4 linked regions of the Struthio camelus genome follow. The protein of the gene in region 2 purifies or fractionates together with the protein of the main gene of each other region. This does not show direct contact. Links are inferred from orthologs where the notes say so. Each region holds a gene or a part of one and is shown on either strand. Other genes may lie near its edges.

What was found.
Region 1: the proteins of ABI1 (region 2) and EPS8 purify together in Homo sapiens (affinity purification with western blotting; 4 studies listed by BioGRID, with this or other methods). This does not show direct contact. The link is inferred for Struthio camelus from reciprocal best matches to the Homo sapiens genes ABI1 and EPS8.
Region 3: the proteins of ABI1 (region 2) and WASF1 purify together in Homo sapiens (affinity purification with mass spectrometry; 6 studies listed by BioGRID and IntAct, with this or other methods). This does not show direct contact. The link is inferred for Struthio camelus from reciprocal best matches to the Homo sapiens genes ABI1 and WASF1.
Region 4: the proteins of ABI1 (region 2) and CYFIP2 purify together in Homo sapiens (co-immunoprecipitation; 4 studies listed by BioGRID and IntAct, with this or other methods). This does not show direct contact. The link is inferred for Struthio camelus from reciprocal best matches to the Homo sapiens genes ABI1 and CYFIP2.

The regions. Positions count from the first base shown.
Region 1 is NC_090942.1:71,951,201-71,959,213, forward strand, and holds the start of EPS8 (epidermal growth factor receptor kinase substrate 8), read right to left. Parts: upstream 3,002-8,013; 5' UTR 2,776-3,001; intron 1-2,775. UniProt on the Homo sapiens protein: Signaling adapter that controls various cellular protrusions by regulating actin cytoskeleton dynamics and architecture. Depending on its association with other signal transducers, can regulate different processes.
Region 2 is NC_090943.1:19,262,649-19,269,786, reverse strand, and holds the start of ABI1 (abl interactor 1), read right to left. Parts: upstream 3,006-7,138; 5' UTR 2,874-3,005; coding exon 2,757-2,873; intron 2,066-2,756; exon of another isoform or gene 1,773-2,065; intron 1-1,772. UniProt on the Homo sapiens protein: May act in negative regulation of cell growth and transformation by interacting with nonreceptor tyrosine kinases ABL1 and/or ABL2. May play a role in regulation of EGF-induced Erk pathway activation. Involved in cytoskeletal reorganization and EGFR signaling.
Region 3 is NC_090944.1:60,413,652-60,420,614, forward strand, and holds the start of WASF1 (actin-binding protein WASF1), read right to left. Parts: upstream 3,002-6,963; 5' UTR 2,987-3,001; coding exon 2,985-2,986; intron 1-2,984.
Region 4 is NC_090954.1:11,239,221-11,246,720, forward strand, and holds the start of CYFIP2 (cytoplasmic FMR1-interacting protein 2), read right to left. Parts: upstream 3,002-7,500; 5' UTR 2,885-3,001; intron 2,132-2,884; exon of another isoform or gene 1,992-2,131; intron 1-1,991. UniProt on the Homo sapiens protein: Involved in T-cell adhesion and p53/TP53-dependent induction of apoptosis. Does not bind RNA. As component of the WAVE1 complex, required for BDNF-NTRK2 endocytic trafficking and signaling from early endosomes.

The DNA of each region.
Region 1 (8,013 bases), on a different chromosome or scaffold from region 2:
GGACAACCAAGCCTATCTACCTGCAGAAAATACACTCAAACATAGCACCTTTGCAATTCTCTCTGGACCGACATATCAGGATAGGGACCCGCGTGCTGTTTGTACTGTAGGCAACACACTTCCTAGGTGTGATATTTCTTTTCTGTCTTGCTACCGGCCATGCAGAGCAGAGAAGAGGTTCTGCTGCACTCCAAAGTTTGGAGGAATCACACATCAAAAGCTGCCATTTTTCTGTATGGCATGGCTGAAAGCTGCTGCTTTTAGGGAATCTTGTATCTTTGACCAGTCCTTCTGTAAGACAGGTGAGTTATGTGACACAGAAATTCTAATAAGGCACATATGAGAAGTAAGCACTAGGCACCAAAATTGAAGTTAGCAAGCACTTTTTAGGGTAGTCTTTATTGTGCGGACTTCAAGTCTTCTGTTACTCCACTGCAGTAGTTGAAGAGAAAAGTTCTTACATATGCAGTCTATTTTGGCCCTCAGGGCATCAATTATTCAACTTCAGATGTTTAGGTTCTAGTAAGCTTTCAGTAGTTAACGTGAATGACTTGCCATCTACAGCTGGACTACGGACGGAAAGTCAAGCATATTTCATGAATTCAGCTGCCATCCAAACAGAAGACTTTTGTAATTTTTCAATTTATGTGCTTCACCATAGAAGTTAAGTATCTTTAGATGAACCTTGGACTCTTTATGATCGTTATATATAGCCTAACACCTAATCATTATGGCGTGTTATTACTCATGGGGCGTTAGCTCTCTTCACTTAAATCTAATGGGATTCTCTGGATGCTTTCTAAATTACATGCAATCAAAAACATTTATTCTGAATTAAAGAGAATGCATAACCCAATACTGCAAAATCATTACGACTTACGTGACACATATTGTCCAAAGCCAGTTATATTTCCATAGCCTCCATCAGCAAAAACAAGAAGCAGTTTGCTTACATAGCACTTTGAATACATTATCTCACTACCTGAAGATACAGGTACGCTAATAACGCTACACTCACTGTGACCTGAGAGAGTCTGGCAACTGCTCCCAAACAATGGCAGTCACATTTAACTTAAACACTGAGGTCTTTACCAACATTAAAAGAAGAAGAAGAAAAAAAAAAAATCTACCACCACAGACATCAGGATGAGATAAGCTGCATCTCCCTTACATCTTGGAAGCTCTTGCAGTCCCCCATTGCTCCTCGAGAGGAAAGGGCCAAACCATTCCCGGCATGGCCCAGCAGAGGACCACTTCTCATAGGGCCCTGCTTGCTGCATTTCACTGGTATTCCATGAAAAGGAGACTGGTCACAGGGTGCTGATTCTGTATTTCCATATTTGCTAACTACAAAAATGGTCATTTTTATATTTTTCCATGTAAGCAGTTTTTGTAGCTGACATATAGATGTTGCACAATCACAAACGAGAAGAAAGATGGTCAATAGGAAAGGGAGGAGAACCGTATTTTTGATGACAAAAGGAAGGAGAGGCACAATTAAAACATGCTCTGTGCTGCAAAGAAACCCGAGATTCATCATTTTGTTAATATTTCTGCAAAAAACACAGAGAAGTAGTATTTTTATCCGCAATATTTCACTTTGCATAAACAAAATAGACTGCACGACAGGTCATCCTGCTGCATCTTTAAGCCTCTGGGGATTTCAAAAGCCACAAGCTGGGGTAAAGCAGGGTTTTGGGGGAGGTTTTTGGGGGCGGTTGATTTGCAAACAACATGCTTCAGGCAAAACTTGTTCCATTCTTCTTCTGTGCCTGCTACTAACTGTCTTGAAGCTAGGGGTTAATGGAAGCTGCAGCATGCTGCTTCTTCACAGCTATAACCCAACCCCATACAGGTTACAGGGGGGCCAGGAGCACCCTTAGATCACTCAGCCAAAGGCCACAAACCTGTTTTCCGCTGTGTGCCCAGGTCACCCTAAGCACGCTGGTGCCAATATGAAAGGGAGCGTGTTGCGGCGAGGACAGGGGGAAGAGGAAGAGCGCCAGGGAAAGTTATCAGAAAAAGTGGGAAAGGGCTGAATAGAGGAAGACAACCGGGCACAGCCCAGAAGAAGCACAGGCACACGAAAGCATTAGCCCACCCTGAGAGCTGCCCTTTGCCAGCTATGAACGATTCACATCATCTTTGCAAAAAGCTTAAGCACTGGGGGGAGGGGGGGAACAATAAGGACAGAAAGCCAAGTCACCTGACAGAAGGTGAGTGAGGAGGAGGGGGGGGGGGGTCGGCCACGGGCATTGCCCACCGGCGGAGACCCTCGCCCGGCGCCCAGAAGCGCCGCGGCCGGCAGCGCTCCCGCGGGGAGCCTGCGGGCAAGGTGCGCGCAGGTGCGGCGGCCGCGGCTCCGCTTACCGCAAAAGGAGGTGAGAGAAGAAAGAAAAAAAAAAATATATATATATATGTATATATATACGCACACACATACATATAAATACATATAGATATACACGTACAGAAAGGCACCGCGGTGGGGAAAGGCTCCGGCAGGAGGCTGCCCCCCGTCCCACGGGCAGACCCACCGCGCACAGCGGCGCGGAGTTTCCCCGCAGCCCCCGAGCGAGTTGCGAGCCGCGGAGGCGCCCAGCCCTCTCCCCGCCCCAGCTGAACCTGGCGGCGGCGGCTGGGGGTGAATACCCCGCAGCTGGCCCTGTCCCGACCGACGCCGAGCTCTTCGGGCGGCGGCGTTTTTTGGGAGGCGGAACAAAAAGCGGAGAGGGGGGCCGGGGGAACCGGCCGCCTTTGTGCGCCCCTTTTTACCTTGGCGGGCGCCGATGCGCCGCGCAGCTCCCGCGCTGGAGGAGGAGGAGGAGGAGGGAGTGGGGGGGGAGACCCTAGCAGCGCTGGGCTCCGCGGGGGCTCCGCTGCCGCCGCAGGGCAACGGGGCAGCGGCGAGCGCGGCGGCTCCGCGCCGGGAACAAAGTGCCGGGGCGGCGCGGGCAGGGCGCCGCCGCCGCCGCCGCCGCCACCGCGGGTCCCCCGGAGCAGCCGCGGCGCGGAGCGGAGCGCAGCTCCCCCTGCCGGCCCTCCGCCCCGGCCCGGCCCCGCGCAGCGCCCGGCGGTGCCCGCCGCGGAGCGGCAGCCCGCTGACCTCCCGCTCCTTGCTGAGGTTTGCGAGGCGTCGCTCAGTACGGAGGGGCTGAGCGTAGCTCCCCGGGGCTGGGTTGAAATAGGTGACTTTTTTTTTTTTAAAAAAAAAAAACTGAGCTTCAGCGTTTAACAACCCCACCACCACACGCAAAACCTACCGCGGCTGCAAAGCTAAATCCTTCCCCGCAGCAGCAGCTGTATCTTAAACCGCCTTCGGAAGGAGCCCGCTCTGAGAGCGCAAAACTTCCCTTCCCCCCTTGAAGTCCCCGATGAAATCTCTCAGCTGTTGCTGCTGGGTCCGTCTGGACCCACTTTGCTGCGGGCCCTGCCGAGTTACACGCGCCTGTCACCCTGCACACGGCAGCAGCCCCAGGCAGAGGCACCGGCGGCGTGCTTACAGGTAGCCCACGTTCTCGCTCTGCGCTCTTGCCGCGTTCATGATTTTTATCACGAGCCTTATGATGCTGATGGTAGTAAGCCGCTTCCACTCCTGAAATCAGGCTGTTCCCTGCGAATCTCAAGTTTTCACTTGCTTCATTTTCAAAGACATTTCTGTCCCTTATGACTCACAAGAAAAGCTAGAAAACATTACTCTTACAGCATCAGACAGATGAAGGGAACCCCCCTTGAGGTAATACATGAAATAGCTAATCTGATTTCCAAGGCTCGGTTGCAGATTTTTGATAGGATGAAACTGGCAATCCTGAAAGACTTACACACCTGCTTAATCACGTTCTTTGAGTCGCCTTTCCAGGTTTCCCCGAGATTCCTCACGAAACTCAAAATTAAGAAGCGCGTAAATCTTTACAGATCTAGGCCAAACACATAACCCTTTGCAGGGTGGAGTCACAGTTATCCAAATGCAGCAACAGGTCCTTTATGCTATAAAGTTTCTGTGATTCCAGGCCCTCTTCAAGAAACCCACACAGGAAAAAAGTATAAACTAATGAAAGAGCAGCTGCTTCTGAAATTGCCATTCAGTTCCAAGAAATGAAACTTGGCAGGGCCTGGCTTTTTATAACACTCAGTGACTCATTTGCAGAGGCAGGTGAAGCCAGAGCCGTCGCTGCTGGAGCTATGCCCCTGACTGCTCCTCCAGGAAGGACACCAATTTTCCCAAACACTCTTTTAGAAAAGGAGGAAGGAAGGCATTTCTCAATTAGTGTTTGCAGTGGTAAAGTTGCTGAATCTTACACAACAGATCTCTTCCAGCTCCCCCTTCATCCCTGGATAGCAGCCCAAGACCACCTCCGTTCCAGTTCCCTCTAACAAGGGACACAAGACACATGCAGAAAACCACGTGGGCTGGTAATTTTCTTTTTTTTTTTTAATTTGGGAAGAAAATATTCAAAAGCAACAGGAGAAACAAACAGGAACACGGAAAGAAAATAGAATGTGAGGATGAGAAAAGGGAAGTCAAAAGAATAAGAGAGAGGGAAAGATTTGCAGAAGAATGAATTGTACTTACTTCTATACATACGTAGAACCTGTGTGTTGGGAGCTTTTCTTCAGGATGTGTACAGTAGGTATGGGTATTTATAAAATGTTCTTGATACGTTTATGAAGCTAATAATGCTGCCAAACAGAAATCAGAACATTGTAACACAGGAGATGAAGAAGAATTTTCATGAGCCTTCTCCTGTTTAGGGAAAAGAAAAAAGATATTCCAAGGATTTTGCCCCTATTTTGTTACAGACTAGCCTGAACGTATTTTCTATACTGGGAACCTGCAGAATGACTTATAGACAATAAATGACTTGCTTACTTACACAACTGTCTGGCAAACCCAGCAGAGAGACTTTTCGCCTACTCTCCCTTCCACCATGGAGCTGTGCCAAGCACAAGTTACCTTGGCCCGAGCCAGCTGCAACCTCCTTTTCAGGTGCACGTGCAATGCAAGGCATGTGGATAACAAATCTGCAGATTCACAGGGAGTGCCAATATTCAGACTGTAGTGAAAATAGATGGGCAAGTATTCAAATTGTACAGTTTTGGCTGCCGCAAGCCTAGAGATTTAAGCTTAACCTCTTTATACTGGAATTTCCACTTTTTTTAAAAACAGATGCTAATGTATCCACGGAGTTTTCAAGAGAAAAATATATAAAACAGGCACGATTGTTCTCTTACTTTTAAGGAATATGTAACTCCACTAAGAAAAAGCTAAATTGTTCCTGATACAGGACCATACAAATCTGGGGCTAATCCTCTGTAATCCATAGCAAGGCAGACAAACAAAAGGGGCTATTGGTGCAGGTTACTTCATTCTTTTATGCTTCTAAAAAAGACAACAAGAAAAAGGTAAAAAATCCCACATAGGGAAACAATTTATTTGCTGCTTAGGTGGAATCAAAGGAAAGCTTTTGCTGAAAGGCTAAACATAGTCCCATCTACAAAACAATGCAGGCCAGAGGATTTGAAGACTAAGCACAGAGCTTCTTCTAGTCCCAGAGGTGGCTGTAGTCTGACTGGGATTTTGTCTGGGTTGTATCTGTTTTTAGCATACGTTGCTTAAATGCCTCTTTCTTTGTCCCATCAGAATATTTTTTTTTTATTTTTATACCACTTTCAGTAGAAACTAAGAAGTGAATGTAACTGTTATAAACTCAGATTTACTACTTGAATAGTAAAACTATGAATAACATAATGGACTCAAAACTGGTGAGATAGATTTGGTCTGGACGTGTTGGGGGGGGAGGCTCTGTAAGTATCTAAATGTATTAGGCACCTCAGTTCTGCTCTCCAAAGACTAGTTTTTGGCAAACACTGCAATGTGTTTTTTTGCCAACAAAACAATATAAAATGAAATTATAAAACAACTCGTCCCTCCCCATGACCTTTGGAACATTAAGAACTAGACAGGAGGTTCCTTTACTGGAGAGCTCATACTTGGTTGATTAATATTAAATTACAGAAGTTACTTAAATTTTCTTTAATAACCTTTCTAGGGAAGGTTGGTTCAGGCAAATTAAGTAAAGTAGAACAAAGATCTAAACCTGGAAGTGAAAATGAATGAACCTGGTGTGTTTATAACTGTTTCCTTACAGACACAGGACTCCAAACATAGTTTTGAACTGCAGGGAAAACGTTTTGTTCCTCAGTGACTCATACCCTTTATCCCAGGTAAGAGCCGAAGCAGTGCAACGGAGTCCCAGAAGCCTCATTTCCAGCCAAGAAATAATCTTCCGAAGAGCTGAAGGATACGGCAGAGAACATATCAGAGCAGAACGAGGTGGCGTCATTTCATCCGAGTGTACTCACGATGCTGAACTCCGCAGAGATTGCACGCAACTGTGATAGATAACAGCATCTCAAAGAGCTGCCGTCATTTGTCTAAGTTACATTAGGGACTGCAGAAAAGTGTGAAATCTGAAAAAGGAGAAGGGACAATCATTTGCCCTTGTGGCACCTGCATCCCCAGCTCAGAGAATTTGGCGCTATACACCTCTTGGGAGTTTCTGTTTTGTGTTGCGTTTAATTTGGAGCTTGCAGCAATAAACATAAACTTACCCTATTTGTTCCTCAGTCTAGCCACCGAGGGTTATCAGTTTTTTATTCCTTGGTCCGGAATATTATTGCATACATGAGAGAGATTATCTGAGTGAGCTGGCTAGGATAAACGAGCCAGCTGTTTATCGTCCCACCTGAGCCTAAAACTCTTCAGCCAGAAGCTGCCATAATCTATGACTTGTAAACCTCCTATGCAGGCATTCCAGTTACTAATGCACTAATGCATCAGCTACAAACTATGTAAATTTATGGCTGGGATTAAAGATAAATGGGTGATGATAAAGAGGCTGCCAGCAAGACAAGGGTTCTGTGACATTATGAATTGGCAGTCATTTCGACACAGTCCTTTGTGGACAATAATCAGCTAGTAACATAACATAAAGGACCCTTCTCCGCTGAAGTTATGAGGAGGGTTGCTGTTAACTTCAGAAGGAATAGAATCAGGCCCAAATCCTTAATTTTTTGCATTACTGAATCTCTGCTCCAACAGCAAGTTGGCTGACACTTGGATTTAGAAATCAGGGACTCAGTCCTGAAATAAACCTGAGGCATGAGAAAAGCCCTACAGGAACGACGGACCTCATGTGAGTAAAGCTCAGCAGGTTCGTAAGTGATTACTAGATTTTGATCTGTCCCCTCTCAAGAGCGACACTGTGCTTGATGGATAAGACTGTAATTGAATTTAGGCAAATAAATTGCAGGTTACAAAGCAAACTCAAACAACGTTACGCATTCTGATGCCTCCATGTTCTTATCTTAGGGAGACAAAAATGAAATAAGATGCAGACGATCAATTTTTTTTTGTATCTATGCTGTGCTCCTCACAGGGAAGTAGGACAGATGTTTTTTATTACAATTGTATATTATTGGTAGAGAGGTAGAGCACTAAACCTCAGATATATCTTTTTCCTTATATCTCATATTCATGTAAAAGAGGCTAGGCAGAAAGAAGAACATATAACTGAAAACAGTTATTTGATCTGTTGTGCCAGAATGTACAGAAGTTTCTGAGTTTTGTTTTTCCTTCTGTTTAAGGCTCTGAAGACACATTTTCTGTTTAAGGCTCTGAAGACACATTTCTCTAGTGGAGGAGGGGGAATAACCTTAGCTATATTGCTCACCCCAAGCCTTCCGAATTCTTGAGTCAAGCGTATAAAATCAAGAGGTCTTTTTTAATAAACACAAAGTGTTGATAAAAAGGATGCTGACACTTTTATTTGGGCTTGGGGCCTGTAGATTTTATATTTTCTAGGAGAAATGTCTGAAGGAGAGAGCTAACTATTGTTTTCTGATGAAAGACAAGGTGTTGGTGCATTCACAGGACTATAGCGAATTAAGCTTTTAAAAAACACATCAAGTAGCACTACCATCACACTAAACACGCTAGATTGGCCAGCATTA
Region 2 (7,138 bases):
AAGTAAACAAAGAATTAAAAAATAATAATATCAAGAGTTTTGAGTGAATGAGTGCTATTATAATTATTGTAAATTGTTAATACCAGCAAACAGAATAATCAAACTTGTTCCATCTCAACCTCACCATGCAGAGGAGGTCTGAGTACAGAATAATAGATTTTATACTAAATAGCACACAATCTTTCCCATACAAAGACAGAAAACTATCCAGACTCAAAGCTATCCAAACTCAAAGAGGACAGTTTGAGTCAGTTACATAGGACAAATTATGACACATAGCCAATCCTAAACTATTTTAGCACTCACTTAACATATAGGTTCTCCATTCTGGCCTGTTTTTTTTTTTTTTTTTACCCCCTTCTTTTTAAATGCTCCCTGTTGCATTGACTATTAGTTACTAACTCAATTATATTAAACACAAACAGTTTACATTTTGTGTTGGTTAAGCCTCTTCCTCTTTCCTCCCTTCCCTTCCCATACCACACACGCACGCGCACACACACACACATACATACACACACTCTCCCAGTCCTCACAACCCAGACTCTCAGTGTCATATTGCCTAATCCTGCAGTGGCACGACCACAGGCACAGGAAGTATAATCTGTTCAGTAGTCCAACTGGAGAGCAGATGGCTTTGCACAAAGTGCTGATTAAAAAGAAAAAAAAAAAAACCAAAAAAACCCTCTACCAGACATTCAAAAAAAAATCAGTTTTATAGATATATTTGCCATTTTTACTGACTTGAGTCTGATCTGTGCACCATGCAAGCTAGGTATACATTCTTCAGAGCTGCTGCTTAAATCCTTATTAGGAATTTTAGAACTTCAGCTTCCTTCCAAAAAGGATAAACACAGCTGTACACAGATAAACCATCAGACTGTACCAATTCCATATCCAATTGACCCTGATACTTGAGGTGAAAATGAGCTAGAGGGGGGAAAAAATCCTGACAAACAACTGGATGAGAAGGAGTTTAAATGTTTTTTGCTTGCTTGAAAAAGAGAAGGCAAGTTTTAGGACCCTGAAAAAAATCATATAGCCGAAGATACTCTGCAACTTTTTAACACAGGAGAAAAAGTCAGGAGACGGGTCAAAACTTGTGCTGTAATTACCATACTCATGTATTTGTCATAATTTCCCATGAGTAAAACTAAATGAACCTCGCCTCTTAGAAGCATTTATATCAGCAGCTTTATTTGGGTGGAGCAAACAAGTCGGAAGAGTAAATACACATCAACTCTTATTGCCTCACAGAAAAAGAGTCTTAAAAAACACGGCTCGTTAGTACAGCTTTAATCTAAATACCAACATTAGCTCATATTAAAAAAAAAAAAAAGAAAACAGATTCCAGTACAGATTCTTATAGCCTGGTTTTCAAGTTTGCTGCTCCATTATTAAAAATAGTAAGTGTACTAGCAACAATGGACACCAAAGATTTTAATAACACTTATTAAGTACTCATTACAGGTAGTCTAGTATTACATTCAACAAGTCAACTTTACAAGCTGTCTAGTAAGTAGTGTAATTTAATTGCTTTTTTTTTTTTTTAAGAAAAAATGAAAGAATGTTTAATCTGAGCATCTCTTCGTGGCTCTGAATCCACATCAGTATGGCTACATATACAGATCTACATTCCGACTTAAATGCTGCAAAGCCAAACCCTCAAAAAATAAAATAAATTAAAGTGTGCTTAAAGTAGCTTCACAAAAATGACTTAAAGCAAGGCCAAGAAGCACCAGCAAGCTACGAGGGGAAAAAAAAATACGCACTGACTGGTGTAGACAAGCTTCAACCAATGGAGCCTCTTCCAGCAACAGAGAGCCGGTCTAAAATTACTGTCATAGGATGGTTGAACTAGGAAGCCTCCAAGAGGCACAGATTGCCATTTTGAAATACCACATCACGCTCACACGTTAGCACCGGTATGCCGGCCGCTTCCTGCTCTCACAAACCGCTCCTTTTCACGATTCAAACCTGCAGCGCATCACGCCAAGACAGTGATTCGCGGGGCCTCGGCGAGAATTACGCGGCCGGGATTAAAAGCAGAATTTCCACGGCGAGGTCCCTCGGGCGACGGCCCTGCGTGATGTCAGCCGCGCGCGCGCGCCGTGCCCCGCCGCCCCCCCCCGCCGCCCCTCAGCGCCGCCCGCGGCCCCCGCGCCTCAGGTGCGAAAGCCGCGCGCCGCCGCTCCACGTGAGGCGCGGCGCTGCCCGCCTCACCAACCGCCACCAACCGCCGCGGCGGGCCCGCCTCGCCGCCCGCCACACCGAGCGCCCCGCGCTGCCCCGAAGGAGCCGCGCCGCCGCGGGGCGACGGCTGACGGGGAAACCTGAGACACCGGCTCTGACCCGGCCACACGGCGCGGCTCACAAGCCCCACCACCATCCCCCCCCCGCCCAGGGAGGTCTCCGGGATGTGACTCATAATAAATAAATTTAAAAAAGAAAAAAAAAGACACACCCTCTGAGCCGGACTGACATAATAACCCCCCCCCCTTCGGAGCGGGGGAGAGGAAAATCCAGTCGTTCAGCGAGAAAAGTTAAAAGAAAACGCAAATCCGGGGGAACGGCGGAGGGGCGGGGGCGGGCAGGGAGCCGCGGCGGGGGCAGCGGGGCGCCGCGGTGCCCCAGAGGCGGCCGCGGCCCCGGCTCCGCGCCGCCGCCCGCACCGGAGAGCCGCCCTGCCTCCCCGCCCTGCCGCCAGCCTCCGCGCCCCGGTGCGCCGCACGGGCGCTGCCCCCGCCGCCCCTCACCTGGATGTAGTTGTTTTCGCAGTAGTCGGCGACCCGAGTGAGGTTCTGGTAGCTCTCGAGCAGAGCCCGCTTGCCAGAAGGGATTTCCTCCTCTAGTAACATCTGCAACTCTGCCATTTTCCACCCCTCCGCATCGCTTCCTCCTGCATTAAAGAGACAGCGGCAGCTCCGAGCTCACAACCCGCCTGGTATTGTGGGATTCCTCCTCGCCTCGCTTTCGTGAGCTCTCGCTTTCCCCACCCATCCTGCCCCCTCGGAGAGAGGAGGAAAAAAAAAAAAAAGAAAAAAAAGAAAAAAAAGCTCTTTGCAAAGGAAGCTGGGAATCGTAGGCACCGCTGCTCCGCGTAGGGCGCTTGCGCGGCGAGGCGGGCGCTGCTCATGGCCGCCGCCCGCGGCCGCGGCGGGATGGTGGCGGTGCTCGGGGGGCCGCCGCTGCCCTCCCGGCGCGGCCTCCGCGGAGGGAGGCGGGAGAGGGGCCGCCGGCCTCATGAGGGGCGGGCGGGCAGGAAGGGAGGGAGGAGGGAAGGGGGCAGCGCCATCCTCTCGCCGAGCTGAACGAGGCTGTCGCGGCGGCGGAGGGCCTGGGCGAGGGCCCGGGGGTCGGTCACGACACGCATCGCCGACCGCAACGCGCGGGCTGCGAGCGCTGCCCCCGCCCCTGGCTCTCCGAGCCCTTCTCCAGCGCCTCTTTTCCTGCTGCTCGTTTCGTCCCTCCTCAGAAAAACCCAGTCCCACCAGGGCTGCCCTGGGCGAGGGTCACCTCTCCAGGAGAAGCGGCAACAGGGTGCGGGGTGAAGCTCTGCGCTGGTGCTCTGGCCAGCGACCACCTCAGATGGGGCAGGGCAAGGCTCGAGCAGCATAACAGCAAAGGGTGGCAGAAATTGGTAAGGTGGTAAGAGCGTCACAATTAGAGGTAATTAGTCCGAGGGGAAGTCTGTTCCCAGCTGGTTCTCCCGTGGAGTAGGAAAAACACCAAATCTAAGCTGTGTAGATTTTTTTTTTTTCTGGGCCTGCCCAGAAGTGACAATTCACAAACAATTAGCATTTATCTTTTTAATATCATAAGAAGAACTTAAATATTATACTGGGATGAATACGTTATTTGTGGCACTCTCTTGCCGTAGTTGTTAATCGTTGTTTAGGCTTTTGTCCAATTGTTGTTGAAAAGATGTGATGGATAAGGGTCCAGTGATTCTTCAGTAAAATATTTTTTGCATATATTTTTTTGAAAGTCAAATCCTCTTTCCGTGTTCATACCAGAAAGAAGCCAATAACAGCAGGTGCCTTATGTGCTGAGAAGTCCAAGCCTGCCTTCCAGTAAGTAGCAGGCCCAAACAGAGCTGTTTCCTAGCTCCATTATTCATGCCTTGGCTTTGCTTGCCTTGTGTACGCACTCACAAACACAACTGGGGTCAGCCTTTGCATTTTAGTAATTGTCCTGGAGAAACCCATAGCAGAGAAATGTCAACGTATTTAGGAATGACACCCTCAAAGACATCCTAGTAAGAGCAGATTGCCTTAAATTGCGGCACAGTCATGGTATTTTGCATGTTCATTGTCCAGTGGAGTCCTTTCTCTGTCTGTAGTACTGAAAACCACTCTGGGCAGGATCCTTTGGCATACCTGCTTGCCTAAGTCAAGAGAAAGGAAAAATATATCTGCCTCTCCCTGAGAGGTCAGCAAAGTCCAGCATCTCAGTCTAGAGCGCTGGAACCAAGCATGAATGGCAGGGGGCCTGGGAAGGACGTGTGGGCCTGGGAAGGTCTTTGCAGCTGGAGTTACAAAAACCACCACCTGGCTGGGGAACGGTGAGACAGCTACACAGAAAGGCATTCCAGTGCATCCTGGGACATCGCAGAAAGGACCTGCTACAGCACTTCCTGTGGGATAGAGAGGAGTCTACATTGCTCCGCAGGTTAATTCGTTTGGCAGCTCAACAAAATTGTTTCCAAAGTGGTTTCGATAATTCTCTTTAGGACAGCATATAATTTCCAATCAAACATTTTATTTAGGATTTTAGGTGCCATTTTAATATAAAGTAAATTTGATATGCAACAGTACTGAAATATAGACAAGCCTTTAATGGGTCCCACAGCAAATGTGATCAGAAACTGTCTTGGGCACTGACTTCTCCTTGTTTCCAGCTATAATACAAAGACAAATTTCATGTCTTTATTCAGTCTGGCTGCAAATTGCTTAACGCACCCATTGGCTTGGATGAGTTTGTAATTACCTACAGATCAAAGACTGACTTCATGGAAGCTGTTAACATCCTCAAACGCAGCACAATTGTTGGTAGTTCTTCTTCAAATGCTATTGCTGCCCCTGTATGAAGGGTTGGCAGATGTTTGGGGTCTTGAACATCAACTTTTTTCAATATTGGAAAAATCAGTTATGTGTATTTTGCTAAATGCATTGTGCTTCGCTTCAGTGGGCAAACAAGCCCTAAAAGCAGATGGCAGAACAGCAAGCTGAGTAGGGGAGTGGTGGCCCTTAGTGAATACACCCTCCTCAAACAGTAGAGCAGAGGCTTCAGGTGTTCATACGGCCCCTTTCCCTCCATGGATCTCAACCCAAAATGCCTTGCATAAACCCCAAACTTGCCAACTCTTCCTAAAGTGTGATTGCAGCCCAAGAGGAGCTTGGAAGACCGCATCAAAGAGCGCCATCTTGTGACATGTGCTACAGCACTTGTTGTAGCCTTACTTGCACAGCCAGGGTTTAACCAGTACATAGAGGATAGAGCTACTGCAAGTATAGAAACACAACAGCTGGCTCCACACCGAGCTAGGTCAACTCCAGCAGAACTTTTTAACTCAGTGCCATACAACCACAGGTATGTTGCTGCTAGGCCAGGCTAGATGAGAGGCACTGGGAAACATAGTGTGGATGTGCTCAACCAGATCAGCAGGCCTTATTAGCTCCTGATCCATGTTAGTCCTCCTGGTTTCAAAATGACTCCCTGGAGGTTCACCTGAGTGTCTTTACAGTGTGTTCCTCATCTCTCAGGTTCTCAGGGGATGTATTGACTCAGATGCACTAGACCCAAGCTGGCTCCATGAACATGTATGGTGTGTACACGAAGCAATTCCCATGCACCTGAAAGCACAGACGCATTCAGGTAGCTGTATAAGAACTTGCCAAACCTAGCAAAACCAGCACTGAGCCAGAGCCAATAAACCCTTGGACCTAAGTTGACCTTTTTTGAAGACACTGGTGTATGTCTGAACTGCGTTCACCATGGTGTCCTTTAGAAACTGTTTTATGCTGTTTTTTTTAATTATCACACTTTCCCATAGTTCTAGACAATGAACTGTTGATGAGAATGGAAAGTTAACTAACTTGCTCAAGATTTATGAAAGTGTGCAAGAGAAGTGAGACTAAAACATTTTACTAGAGCCTGGACTGGTGGAGAAAAAAATGTAATGATGCTCTTCAAGCTCCAACTAAGCAATCATTAGAACGAGATCTCATTCAGAGTAAAGTGTGCTTGTGTAACTCTGTGTCTCAACTGCCTATATGAGCTTCACTTCCCCCTCAGTGGGCATGGTGGTCTCCAGGGGCAATACTGTCCTTCTGGGACGTAGCTCATTCCTGACTAGCACAGAAGAATGTGGCTGTCTTCTAAATGCATCCAGCTGTAGCATCAAAGCAACTTCTCCTGCACTATAATTTATGTAGTTCTGTAACTGTCTGTTCTGTTTTCTAGGCCACAGATTGATGTATGTCTTTGTTTTTCCCTTGGGAACAGTACTTGCTTCAGTAGTGTTGATTGGAAAATAACCATTTATTTCTTGTTGGACGGTTTCTCGGCTGGATCAGTTCTTGATCCAGCTGTCTAGCCACACAAGTGTTTTTGACTAGGGCACTGGAGAGGGAGATGAGGGATCAGAGGGGACAGCTGGAAGTGTAGGGGACATGGCACCTCTTCGGATCAGCCATGTCAGCTCTACTGCCAAATGCCAAGCCTCATGTTCTTGTCAGAAAATTGTTATTGATTACTGTGATATAGTTACACAAGTGCAGCTGTACTAGGACAATCCTACATGAATACTTACCAAAATCTTTTTTTTTTCTGGGACAAAAAGAGGCTTTTTTGGTGTTTCTTATTCCATATTAGAAGTAACTGGTCAAGAAGCTACAGAGCTATATTGGTTTGCCTTCCTGTGCTTTAGATCTAGCACACAGAGATTTACTTAAGAACTAAAATAATTAACCGTGTTGATATTTTAATTATCATCACAGGGTATCTGAGTGTTGGAGAGATGAATGAGGTTGTTCCCGCTTCTTGGAGATAATTTGCCGGGCTCTCTGCACTCTCCTGGGCATCTCTGCATGTGCTTTTCTCAAGTAATATTTTTAAGTTTTTCATTACAGTTGTA
Region 3 (6,963 bases), on a different chromosome or scaffold from region 2:
CTTATTTGAAATACATGGTAATAAAGCAGGTTTTACTGTAGACATTCACATTCTGACTGTACCATTATCTTTGAAATATCCATCTGTTTTTTCGCCTTTGAGTGCCAGTAGCACTTTTGAAAGCTGTTAGAATTTAAATTCCCCAAAAAGGAAGTATTTATTCAGCTATAAACAGATGCAGCACATGTAGTATATAGACAGACAGTCTACTTGGATGATAGCATTGAAGAGGAACACAGATTAATAACGCGTTAAAGTGACTGTGTAACTACTATTAAGGCTACTACCAAGTAATTTCAGGCAGGCCACTACACAGCTACTAATTGGCAGTAACTTCTGGTCGCTATCAAGATGAAAATAAAAACAGAAGTGTGCCTTGTTTAAGGACACCCATTGAAGCAGTTTTAATTGTTACTCTCCAGGACGTATTTAAAGACTTTCAGAGAAAATCTTGTCTTTTTACTTTCTTTATAACATCTCTCAGCATGAAATTTATAAAATGCAGTTTTGCATAAGGGTAGGGTTTGGGGTTTGTTGGAGATTTTTTTTAAAACGTCTTTAGAGGAAAACTAAGTCTGTATAGTACCTACAAAGACAGAAGAAGATTACTGGATATTGTTACATTAAATCATAACTTCAAAATTGTAACTTAATTTCCTTTTTATAGTTTCTTATTACCCAAGTTTACATCAAAGAATGAGAAAAGGTTATTGTAGATTTGACTGATCTTCCCTTCACAGAAGCAGCATGCTATAGCCTCCTTACCGCAAATCTCATAAAGAACACTAATTCTCAGTACAGCTACTAAGAATTATTTTGGAATAGCAGAACAGAATTTCACATGTACAATGCTACAGGAGATGGTAATTGAAGTTGATATGCTCACTGACTAGTGAACTGCTCTAATTCAAATTAAATTTAACACTTCGCTGTTATTTACAGATAGATTACATTTATGACTTTTCAGCTATTACCTCTAAAGAAAACAGTTAGAATAGTCAATCAATTATCCATTAAATGGAATTAATTTTTTTAACTGAAATCTCAAAATATTGAAGTATAATTACAGATATACTTAACTATAATTTAACACAATTCACAGATGAACTAAATGTTTATCTTCAAAGCCCATCTGGACTAGAGTTCAGACTGTGAAGTTTTAGGACTAAATCTTCTCCTGGAATAACTTAATTAATTGGAGTTACACCAGCAGAAAAATATTGCCTTCGTATTATGCTGATGATAGCTCAAATTCCAAAACAGAAAAGAAAGTATTTCAGATACAGAACATGGAATACAGTTACCAACAATGCTTCCAAAAATTCAGAGAACTATAAACTCTCTTTGTGGCAGACAAGAGAGGAAATATAAAATGATTCTCTTTAAAAATGTAATTGTTTTGGTAAAGTTTAAAACTATACACATTCCAAACAGCTGGTTTCCCACTTTTCCTTCAAAGAAACCAATTAACTCTTGAATTCAAATCTTTGCACAATAAAAGGTTTTAAAATTAATTTCTTCAAATTTAGCAGTTCAACAAAATTGGAAATACTAGACCTCCCTATAACTACAATAAGGCTATCGAACACATGAACCTGCAAATACCTGACACATACTGAATCCAACACAAATCACAGAAGGTAAAGATATTTTGATCATGCTTATGACATGTTTTGAAAAGCAAATACGTTAAAAAAAACAAAGAATCTCTTGAAAATGTTCAAGGCCATTCTGATGAGCATGATTACATCCCGTATTCCATATATTTCTATTTAGGGGAAAACTATAAACTGAAAAGAATTATCATGCTTAATTCTTTTTAAGAAGCCTACCAAAAAGTAAGCTTTTTACTGCATCTAAAAGGTACTACTCAAGCCCACCTCCCCTGTACTTCTCCCCTCTTAACTCAATTCTTGTGTTTCTCAGCCACAGGATTGGGGGGGGGGGGGGAAATCTGCATCTTCATATGTAGAGTTCTGAAGACATAACTTTGATTTGCTCTTTGTGTTTTCCAATCTGATATATCAAAAGTATAGTTTCTCTACCAGAACGCTCCAGAGGAATATCTGCATTTCAGTGCCACCCCACCTCCTTTAGACCACCCTGGGTAAGATGACAATGAAAAAAAAACCAAGGACTGTTTTTACAAAATGCTTGGGGTCCAACACTACCCTACAATCAATTTCTGGTAAAGATTATTCACAAAACTCTCTTGTATGTATGTAGAAACTGTTTCCCCTTAGAGTTCTTTCTGAAAAATAGACATGTTTTAAAAGGAAAAAGAGAAAAAAGATTCTACTGAATATTTTATCTGAATGATTTCTATCTACTTATCCAACTTCATTATGTATAATTCTTAAGACTAAAGCACTGCTGTCTTTCAGTTTATTTATTTGTTTCACTAAGTGGTGAGACTTACTGAAAAACTCTCACAACCTCCTTTTGTCGATCCATTTTCTGTTTCATTTAAAAGTTTGGAAGTTTTGTCTATTTTTCTAAACTAGAAATCTAAAAAACCCACCCTTTTAGGACTGGTCCCTCAAGATGTTCAAGACCATTTTTCACTTTGATGCATCTTTGTTTCCTGAGTCTTCTTCAGATTACAGCAGATAGTTGGTATAACTGCACAGAACTTCCAGCTCTTATCCTTTGGTTTTTTAAGGTAAATACATACGCGCGCGCGTGTGTGTGTATATATTCCATTTACAGATATATACAAACATATCTATTACAGATAATATGTTGTATTAAGTATAGCATATACTTACTTATAAGCATATATGCTTAATATATAATGTATTGTATTATATACACTTTATTGTATATTATTATATTATATTTTTAAATACAATACAATTAAATACAATTATATTATTGTATATTATTATATTATTGTATATACACTTTATTGTATATATATATTGTATATTATTGTATGTTTTATATTTTTTTATATGTGTGCATATACATACACACACACTTACATAACAATAAAAATAAGGTGGATGCTTAGATACTTGAGGAATGAGTCATCTGAAACTTTGTGAAGTTCACCCAAGAAGTACGAGGAGGTAGACTCGCCCCACGCGTCAGTACAGGCTGGCAGACAAGTGGCTGAGTGGCAGTCCTGCTGAGATGGACCTGGGGGTCAGAGCAGACACCAAGCTGAATACTGGTCAGCAATGCTTTTCCATTGCAAGTAAGGTAAACAGCACACAGGGCTACATTAGGACAAACAGAACATGGAAAGTTACTATCTCCCAACTAGACAACGCACATAAATGTTGTTGTCAGTTTTGGGGCTCCCATTTCAAGAAGAACGTTAGGAAACTGGAGAGCGTCTCCCAAGATGGTCAGGGACCTAGAATACAGCCTTCGAGCAGGCTGAGCTGAGCAGGAGGCTGGACCACACACCCTGCAGAGGTCCCTTCTAGCCATCAGTTCTAGGATTTTATGAAAAGACTTTAAATTCACTAGGGATTAAAAGAAGAGTAGATGGAAGAAGATACAGGAAAATGAACCTGATTTTCCTAGTACTATGATAATTATTTAAGAATTATCGGACTATTTCCCATAGAAAAGTAGTATTCAATGTAAAATGAAATGGGAAGGAAGTTTGGAATTGCCACCAATAAATTGCATCCTTTCACCTGAAGCTTGTAACACACAAAGAAACGGTCTAACCTAAACCAATGCTGATGCTATGACGTTAAAATCTGAAACCCTCAAACCATCCAGCTTCCGCAGTCCACTTATTTTTAAGAAAAACCTGATCCTTTTGAAATCAACAGCAAAACTTTCAAGATATCAGAAGCGCAGCAAAAGATTTGAAGAGAATTCTTGGCAAAGTTTTGCATAAAATGATAGTGAATATTTAAGGCAATAATTTAATAAACACTTTTTAAGGAGCACAGAGAGAATTCCTGCAGCTTCTTCCCCCATCCTCCTACTCCAGCCATGCAGGTACAACTGTTTGAGAAACAGATCATAAAATTATTCCAGGTTAAAAGTAATCCAGCAAACAAAAAACAACAAAACTTTGAATGAGTACCTTAATCCAGTTTGTTATAAAGCCATACAACTGCAGGCCAAACGAAGGCAAGAACTATCAGCAGGTGCTGCTTAATGAAATTGCTACCACAAGAAATTCTTAACAATTTACATTCTTACATGGACATTTCTGAATTGGCTGAGCCTACAGAAAATATCACGTTTAAAATCTCTTGCTTTTTAAAATACAGAAATACAAGAAATGCAAAGACAGGGGTTCGTGCCTCAAGTTCAGAGTGTTAACAATGTAAGAATTTTATACAAGATGATATTAGCCTAAGAACTCCAGTTAGTCATGTCTGAGATTGTATAACGTTCTTGAAACCTGACATTACTGAGGCTTTGCGCAGATTGTTAGCTTGTTCACCCAAACATACTATATGGCACTGAAGCCTCATACAGACGCTTAAATAAGCGGCCTCACGAAATCTTGTGTTGCTATCTTTGAGAGCAAAGAGCACCTGCTAGAAGGCAAGATGAGAACCTGGCGGATATTCTACGATTATAGGATGAATGACAATGTCTAACAAGATATTAATCTGACCATCTAGACGTTCCTATGAATACAACAAATATGGCTCATAAAGAAGCTCTAGTAATACGTACATGCTTTTCAGATCTGCCAGTGAGGGAGAAAGTGAAAATCAGTGTTTATATCGAGCTGTAGCAGAGCGACTGAAACACAATGTGTGCTGAACAGGACAACAACAAAATATGATTATTCTCTATTCACATTTTGATAAATTATAGCTATTTAACTAAAATGACAAACCCTGAACAAAGAGACCTTTAGGTTTTCATACTCATTGAGGGAAACTTCCCAGCTACTTACTATTAACTATTTAAGTGAATTTTCCAACTATTGCTGGCTATACTAAAGATGCAGTACACGAACTTCTCCAATGCTAATCAAACTTACCGAGAATAATTAGTCCAGTATATGGGAAAGTTTAGCCCCTATTCTACACGTTTGGAGGACGATGGCCATAGCAGAAATAGCACACCTAGAAAGTACAAGTTCTTGAGGAGTTTTGCATACGGTATGCCTATCCACCACATTAATACATACCAGACACTTGGTCATAATGTATGCATTGCCACATCGGAGAGATGTAGGGCCAGATTATTTTCCTTCTCACCACAATATCACTAAACCACGTAACTCTGCTATTCAGGCTGCGTACCAGGAACAGGATCTATGTTCCAAAGAATCACACACACAATCACACAGAATGGTTGAGGTTGGAAGGGACCTCTGGAGATCATCTCGTCCAACCTCCCTGTTCAAGCAGGGTCTTCTACAGCATATTTCTCAGGATCACATCCAGACGGGGTTTAAATATCTCCAGGGAAGGAGACTCCACTACCTCTCTGGGCAACTTGTTCCAATGCTCTGTCACCCTCTCAGGAGAGAATTTTTTTCTCAGGTTCAGATGGAACTTCCTGCACTTCAGTTTCTGCCCATTGCCTCTTGTCCTGTCGCTGGGCACCATGGAGAAGACACTGGCCTCATCCTCTTGATACCCTCCCTTCAGATACTTGCACACATTGAGGAGATCCCCTCTCAATCTTCTCTTCTCCAGGCTGAACAGGCCCAGCTCTCGCAAGCCTTTCTTCAGAGGAGACATGCTCCAGCCCTCTAATCATCTTGGTAGCCCTCCGCTGGACTCTCTCCAGGAGTGCCAAGTCTCTCTTGGACTGGGGAGCCCAGAACTGGACACAGGACTCCAGGTGAGGCCTCACCAGGGCTGAGGAGAGGGGAAGGATCAACCTCCCCCTCAACCCTCAACCTGCTGCCAACACTCTGCCTAATGCACCCCAGGATCCCATTGGCCTTCTTGGCCACAAGGGCACATTGCTGGCTTACGGTTAACTCGTCCACCAGGACACCCAGGTCCTTCTCGGCAGAGCTGCTTTCCAGCAGGTCAGCCCCCAGAATATGCATCTATATTACAGACATGTTATTACTAATACATATTCAGAGACCAATATATTGCCAAATGGGGGGTGTAGGCCAAAGTAGTTTCACCTCTTCAGATGAAACTTAAGACTGATACTAACATACCAGTCACCTCAGATTTTGGAATATCAGCTTTTGTATCTTTAAGAAAGCCTGAAAGTGGCATTCTTTTGCTCAGCAACAGCATACTTAAGCAGGAGTCCCATATTGCGATCCAATTCCGATTTCATCAACAAAAGACAACTTGTCATACAACTGACACACAGAAATTGAAAAAGGAGTAATAGTGGTGGGGGAAAATTGTTAAAGTCTGTACTTTTCAGAAAAGTTCTTAATGTTGATTTTCTTCAAAATACATGGACATAAGTTTAATATTAAGAATAAGCGCGGCTTCAAGAAAAATTGACACTCCAGACCTTGAATATGACCCAACTTTCTACTTCTGAGTTATTAAGTTTGCAATACTAATGGTTGGTTTACAGAAGAACTGAGGAATGTAATGTAAGAAGCTAATGCACACATTTAGAGCCATATACTCTTTGCTTCTCTCTGATAGTAGTAAATGCTAGTTATGATGATGATCTTTATAATATGCAAACATGTCCACTGAGACTATTTAAAGTTTTAGCTAGTAGCGGCCTTGGAGAGAGTCAAACTGGATGCAATTCACTCAACTGCCCAAAGCAGTAGCTAACTATATTTTAATCGATAAACTTCTCTCTCTGAAGTATCCATTACTCATAGAATATATTTTTAAAAAGTCCTAACAGCTGCAAAAATAGAAAACCGTATCAGCAATACGTTTACTTTCTAAATATGTACTAATTACATATTTAAGTGTTACTAATATCCAAAGTCATTGAAAGTTGATCATAGCAACTGACTTTAAGGCACTAGATTCTAATTACATCCATATAACAAAAAATAAAGCATTTTAACAGAAGGAATAGGAT
Region 4 (7,500 bases), on a different chromosome or scaffold from region 2:
TCCCTCTCTCCTCACATGCTGTAAGAATTACTTGTAATTGCAACCAGCACAACAGGCAGGAGGTACTTTGCACGAGCAAAAAAAGCCAGGATGAATAAGACTGGCAGAACCGGGCTCCTGCCTTACACAGGCACAGACGTTAAGAACCATAAAATTGTCCTTCTCATTAAAAAAGGAAACCAAACTGCACAACTCCTCAAGGTGTTTTTCTGTATCTCTGTTCTACGTTTTCTGCCATCCCCTTAAGGCTGAGTTCCAGGCATTTGTGCTGTCTTTCTCTCATCAACAGAATCATTTTGGAATTTATTTCTTGTAGAGTAGCTTCATCAAATCTTTCTCGTGCCAAAGAAAGACGCTCAAGAGTTGTCACTGGAAGCTACATTTCTGATATAGCTGAAAAATTCAGAGCCAGTTTACAAGCAGTCTGCAACACTGACAGTTAAAGCACTTCTTGGGAAATTAAATTGCACAAAGATAGTGTTGTTAACAGTTCGCCAATTACTGAAAAAAGGAACTGCCTTTTTTTCATGCAGAGATGATAGGTGTTTGTTAATAAAATTACTACTACGAAATCAGCATAGCTTCGTTTGCTCAAGAGACCCTGGTCAGAAAATGGAAGATATTTCCAGATTCCTTGGGCTTCGTTAATGACAATTAACTGTACAGAGAAAGGGAGAAAGGAATTCTCCTTTGTGGAGCATTACCCAAGAATTATAACGCTATGACAGACATCAAAACACAGCTCTAATCACCCATCACAGTGACTAACCTCCGACAACTGTCATAACGTGAAATACGAGCGTGCTTTTTCTTTTGGTATCTGTGCAGGGCAGGCAGGGCCAGGGCTCTGGTGAGTTAGCGACCAAACACAATTCGGTGAGATCTTTGTGATCCAAAAGCTGCGGTTTGAAACCCCCACGTGGAAAGTAACAGATGGCAAAGGGGGACAAGCTCTGCTGCTAGCAGCCGTATCCACTTACTCAGCAGGACCTCAACGTCTGCCCCCAGACACCCTCCCCCTTCCAAAAACAACCAGTAAAGAGGACTCTCAATCACTAAGCCAGCACGGACGGTTTAGTATGTGCCTCTTTTTCTTCTCATCGTTCCTTTCTGATCCCTTCCACCCATGGAAATTTCCTGTGAAATCTTTTCATTCCTTTTCAGGTGGGATGTGGCTGCCACCAGTGAACTCATCACTGACATCCTTGGTTTGAAAGTTCAACACAAAGAAACGCTACCGGGGCACATCTCGACCACAGATTGCCTCATGCGTGGAAAATCAGTCGTTCTGGAGCACCCAGGTTTTGCCAACTCCAACCAACACCAAAGCATAAACCTTGAAAAATCTCTGACAGCACAAAATCCCCAGAGCTCGGGCCCATCCTTCCCAAGCCCCGCTCACACCCCACGGCTTTCTCCTCCCCTCTCCTCCCCGAGGGACACCATTTTTCTATGCTGTTGGTGATGGGAGCTCCGACCGGGGGCCAGGGCCACCTCTCGCTCCTCGGCCCAGTGCATCCGCCGGTCCTCCATCTCCTCCACCCACATCTCTCCCGCGCGGAGCATCGCTCCGACCCCAGCGCTGCCATCGCCGCCAGCGGCCGGGCCTGCGGCGCATCCCGGCCCGGGGCTCGTCGCCCTTCCCCTCCTCCGCGGGGGGATGCGCGCAACCAGGCGGTGCGATTTTGGGTCTTTTCCCCGGCTCTGTGCAATCAATGCAAGGGAGGCTCGATACTGCAGGTGGCTCTAAGCATTGTGGGATACATCCGCGCACATCCCGGCGCCGCCGGGCCTCCTCGCTGCCGCTGCCCCGGGCGCCGGCACCTGCCCCGGCGCCCGCACCCGCGGCCCGCTGCGCCCGCGCGGGCGGCCCAGCGCGCCAGGGCCGGCGGCGGCGGGCGCAACCCCGCGCAGCCGCGGGGGAGGGGGAGGAGGAGGATGCTCCCGCGCAGCCCCCGCGCAGCGCAGCCCCCCGCCGCGGCCCCGCTCACCTGGCGCTGCGCGGGATGCCGCGCTGCTCCGCGCCGCTCCGCGCCGCTCGCACAAAGAGCAGGAAATGGCTGCAGCAAGTGCACTTCCGCGGCTCTCCGCCGGCCCCTCCGCACGGCGGCGGGGGGGGGGAGCCCCGGCCCCCGCCGCGGGAAGGGGCTGGAGCCGCGCGGGCGGCTCCTCCCCCGGGCAGCGCGGGGGATGCGCGGCGCCGCCGCCCCCGCGCAGGGGCGGCCGCATCCCCCCGCGGCTCCGCGCCGCCGCCCCGACCCCTGCTCGGGCTGCGGTGCCAGCCGCCGCGGCCGCCCTTCCCGGCGAGCAGGAGGAGGAGGAGGAGGAGGAGAAGGGAGCCGTTTTGCCGAACTGGCCGGGGGAGAACGGCCGAAAAGCCCCGGGTTATGAGCGGGAGAGGCTGGGGCTGCCGCTGGCGGTGGCGGCTCCCGCAGCCCCCGGGAAGCGCTAGGTGAATGCAGTTAGGTGCCTGAGAAGCAGGAGCGGCCGCGCGCTTCCCCATCTTGCCGCTGCCGAGCCTGCCGGGCTGCCAAGCATGCAGGCGCTGTGCACGGCAGGCGGCTTGTGCCAAAGACAGATTTTTTTAAAACCCTGTTTTAATGACAGTCCTGTTTCCATAATATATATAAAGCCTTGGTTCGCTGACCATGTAAGGGATGAAAACCAGAAGACAATGCCTTTGCGCAGGGCTCCGAGCCTCTTCTGAGTCAGCACTACATCCAAAAGATCTTCCTTTTGGCCTTTTTTCAGGGATAAGCTTCCAGTTCTTCTGCTTGTGATTCTTTTTAAAGCTCCAATACAGCTGTTGAGATCTAGTGTGAAATGCAAAATGGACCTCTTAAAACCTCCAGAGTAACATCTCTGCGTGCAGATTGATACAAACCTTGCAAAGGACTTTCATTCATTCTGCTGTAGCTCTCAGAGGTTCAGATGTTAAAAAGACATCGGTGGATATCCAAGGCTGTTGGAAGCCCAGGGCATGTCTAGATATATTTCCACAGTGGTCCCTGGCAGCGTTCCTTTCCTGAACATTGGTCTATGCTAAAAATAGACTACATCTGGATCTTTCCTGGCTTTGAATAACCACTGCTGATTCCTTACCAGAAAGCCTGCTGCTCTGTTGCCCGTGACAGCTTGGGTCTGAGCTTGCTCAGGAGCACAGGCTCCCAGTGTAAGCTCTGGGTGTAAGCTCTGTTGGCTCCAGAAGGAAGCTTGGGCACCAGGTCTGTGCTGTAGTTCTGCTGCGATAGGTAGAGTGGATGCACTAGGGTCTGCACGCTCCAAAAGCAGCAAGACAGAACTTCAAAACTGTCTTCATTTTAAATAGACAGCTCAACACCTGAACATTATTAATAGCAACTCTAGGAACAGACCCTTCTTCCTTCCCCTATGTAGCAGTCTTCTACATCAGCTTTAACTGGAACATTTTTCAGCCATAGTTCCTCTTTTCACTATCTGTTGCTTGTCAGAAAGATTCAGTAAATTAGCATTCTAACTGCAGATGCAAGAGATTTAACAGCTAGTATTACTCTGAGGCCGTGGATGAAACAAGGTCAATTCAAGAAAATTGTGGCAGTGAAAACTGTTGTGTTTTCGTTTTTTTTTTATTTTTTTTAACTCATTCCCATTATCAGCCAGGCTAATGGTGATGGGAGTTCTGTGAATGTTATGTTATTTTAATTTTCTACTTTTTGTAGTCTTAGATCATAGAATAAGCTTCTTTGCATTTGTCCTGCAGGTCTCTTTGCAAAAGGGGAAGAATGCTGGTGAGGAGCAGACCACATGCAGATACAGATGTGTGCATCAGATGCAGTGTGGGCATCAGCTATTTGTGCGTGTGGATGTGAGAGCAAGAGGTAACGTCATGGTGTTGTGAGGTGAACAGAACAATACACTGAGCTCATCCATGCAAGGAGAATTAGCAAGGAAGGTTCCACCTAAACCCCACCCTGTTGTAGAGAGCAGAGTTCGGAGAGTACAGACAGAGCCATACATCACACGGGAATATATTCATTACAAAATGTTTCAGGAAATTTTGGATTTTTCCAGGCCAAATTTTTCTGTCTTCCAACTGTGAAGGCAGATGTCTCAGTTCTTTCTCACCGTGCAGGTCTAGACCTAATTGGGAATAAAGCACTAGGAATAAAGAACTACGGAAAAAGGTAATTAACGACTGGAACAAGTGGATACTTATGGATATTTAATGAAGAGCAAATGGATGTTTATTGCAATGCTTCCTAAGTGTTGCAGTGCATCTAATCCCACAACTGGAAATGTTTAAAGGAAGACTGGGCAATGCATGATTTTGGGGAGTAAGTTTGTGACTTTGGTAGTTCCAAATGCTACCTGTAACGTGTCGAAACCTACATTATCGTTGGGTTTATGGAAAGAAAGGTCCTCAAAGGGGTAGATAAAGAACAGGCAGGACAGGAAGAAATTGCATTTCATTGCATATGGAACTCGTTGCTATGTATCAAATATAGATCAAATATTGATCAGCATCCTGGAGTCGTTGGCCCTCTCCAACACAGTGTGACGATGAGAAGCACTTACATGCCAGGGCAGGAGAGCAGCTGACTCCAGTGCCAGTGGCAGTGACGTGGGACCAGCACCTCTGCATGGCCTCTTCATCATGTTCTGCTCTGCAAGTAGTAGGAGCAGAGCAAACAGCAACGGGGAGCTCTGACTGGGCAAGCTCAGCTTTCAGGGAGGCTGGAAGCACCAACAACCACCACTTCCCGGGGTGACCACCATGTGCCCAGGAAAGCACTTGTTATGGCTTCAAAGGAAAGCTGACATTGCTTTACTCCATCCACTGGTCCCCACGGAGAAGGGTCAGCCATTCTTTCTAGATGAGGTTACTGCTCGACCGCCTTTTCCTAGCTAGGCTGCAAACCTGACCGTGCCAGCACTCAACCATCGCAGCAGCAGGTCAGGAGCACGTTGGGACAAAATACTTTTGAAGGAGACAGAGGAAGGTTATTCTCTTTCCTGCAGGACACAGCTGATATTCTCACCTCTGCTTTGTGGGGAATGTCTATGGTTAAGCCGCATGAAGTGCACGAAACTAAACTTGCCATATAAACTGCGAGGGTGGGAGAAGACTGTGTTAACAGTATGTTCGTATCATGCAGTTGTCACAGTATGGCACCATCATTTTGAGATTCTTGAAGTATCTTGCAAGTATTAGCAGGCAAACATTGTCTGGGAGCATTCAAATATTATCCTCCCCGTTTTAGAAAGACCTAAAGAATTTAAAGCCACTACATTGGATGTTCAAACTTAGAAATCTGTGTCTATGTGTCTATATAGTAAATTAACTCAATTTTCAGAGGTTCTGATTACTTACTAATCCCAGTGAACCCAGCACCTAATCTAACCCCAGAACCTAGGCATAGGTCTGGGGAACAGCTGTATTTCCTGAACCAGAGCAGGCTTGTTTGGTTCTTGGTGGGAAGGATTTTGGGGAAGGGCAGGCTGTAGGATTATAACAGCATAAAATTGTTTTTGCATTTATGTTAACACATAGTGAAAGCCACAGTCGGGACACAGCAATTTATTGCTTTTAAAAATATGTACTGTTTATAAAGAAATTCCTACAAAAGAAGATCTGAACATGAGACTTCACAATATTATCTTGTGCAACAGTAATAGCTAATAAATATTACATTTACCTCATCCTAACATAAATATAGTCTCAAAACCACTGCCTAGCGGAGCAATATTGCTGCTGCTTAATAGCAACCTCCTCAGGACTGACAGATCCCTGGTTCCTTCTAAGGTGGAGGGAATAGCATGCCAGAAGCTTGACTTTGTGAACCTGTGGGTACACCTGCCACAGCGAGAGTGCCTGTGCTCAGGGAAGAAGTATTCAGAATACTCTGGGAGTTGTACGTATCCTCTAAGTGCAACCTGGGCTGGGGGAGAAAAAAGGGTTTTGGCCAGGTGTCCTCCAATCTAGTTGTGGATGTGCAGTGCCATATGCTTAGGGCTATTGAAAACCTCACTGACTAAATGCAAAATTTAGCACCACGGGAACATGGCAACGGGTTAACTCAGACTAAAAGGATGAGGGGGCCAAAGAAAAACTCAGCTAACGTTCACTGTAAGCAAGAATTGAAAACCAATTTGTAGATGCTCGTATTCTACCTATTGGTCCAGACTATCACGATATTTTTGGCAGCAGTCCTGACTGGAACGTAGCACTCTGATCCTGCATTTCGGCATGACTCACCTCTTGTCTGAATGCTAGGATTCACCTTGTCTAGGAGAATTACTCTGGATGATATTTGTAGAAGTAGAACAAAGAAGATAATGTGTAATTAAAGCGAAGTAGGAAGATAAGTTTAAGATCGGAACTAGTGCCTTGCCCATATTCATACAGCTGACAAGATATTCTGGCTCTCAAAAGCCAGCCTAGAACCATGGATCTGAAAAATAACAGCAATAAAACCTCCTTCTATGAAGAAACATTTTGACACAGGATAAGTGAGATCATGGAATTACATTTCCTTGTTCCATTTTTGTTGGCAAAAATCTCTGAACCTGGCTTCTGTAACAACATCAGAACCTGCTGCTGGAAGGTTGCAACTCAAAAGTTTTTGTGAACTGCTGTCACATAAGGTTTACTCATGTCCTCCCTTCCCCAAACAGAGGAACATCAAAAATACATACTGCATATATACATATATCATGGACCAGTCCTCTTGACTTCTCTAGTTATTCTGAATGCTCTGCAGAAAGTCCTGATCTTATTTACAAATTCTGCAGGATGCTAACACCCACACTTTTGTTTTTGAGGTCAATTATGTCAAAACATGTCTCTGTCTTGCAGTGAAAAATGTGGATTTTAACTGAAGTACCAGGACATGGATACTGTCTACACCTTCTTCCGCTGTTGCCACATAACGTGGAACTCAGCATGAAGGACCCAGACAGTCCACCTCACATAGCACTTTCTTTCTTCTGTTGAGCATGACAGTTCCTAGAGGATTCACCAGTTTGTTCACAGAAGAGAGAGAAAAGGCTTTACTTCTGATGATCCAGTTACTCTTTGGAGTGGGAAAAAACATTTCTGATTTTCACTAGAGCACTGAGCACACAGTCTGCAATGTTTCAGTCTTGTGGCAATCCTTCCGGAGCACTCTCGCTCATTCCTTCCAAACATGCTAGTTCAGGAGAAGGTTCCTGTGCCTTTTAGATATCAGATAATCAGATCATGGGATCGTCTCTCACGCTGGACCATAGCACTCCGCAGTGTTGAGTCCCCCCATACTCAGTTCAAAGATGTCGGTGGAGGTCCTTTCTTTATCTTCTGATGTTGAAAGACTGAAGAACAATTCGATACAAACTTTAGGCTTTGACCTTTTCCTACCAAGAGTGTCTCTGTTTGCATTAGAAGGTCCCATTTTCCCTGTCACTATATAAGACAATTTGAGAGTATTTCAAGACTTCTTCTACATGTTGCTTTTTCTCTCCTTGTCTTACAAATTCACATGC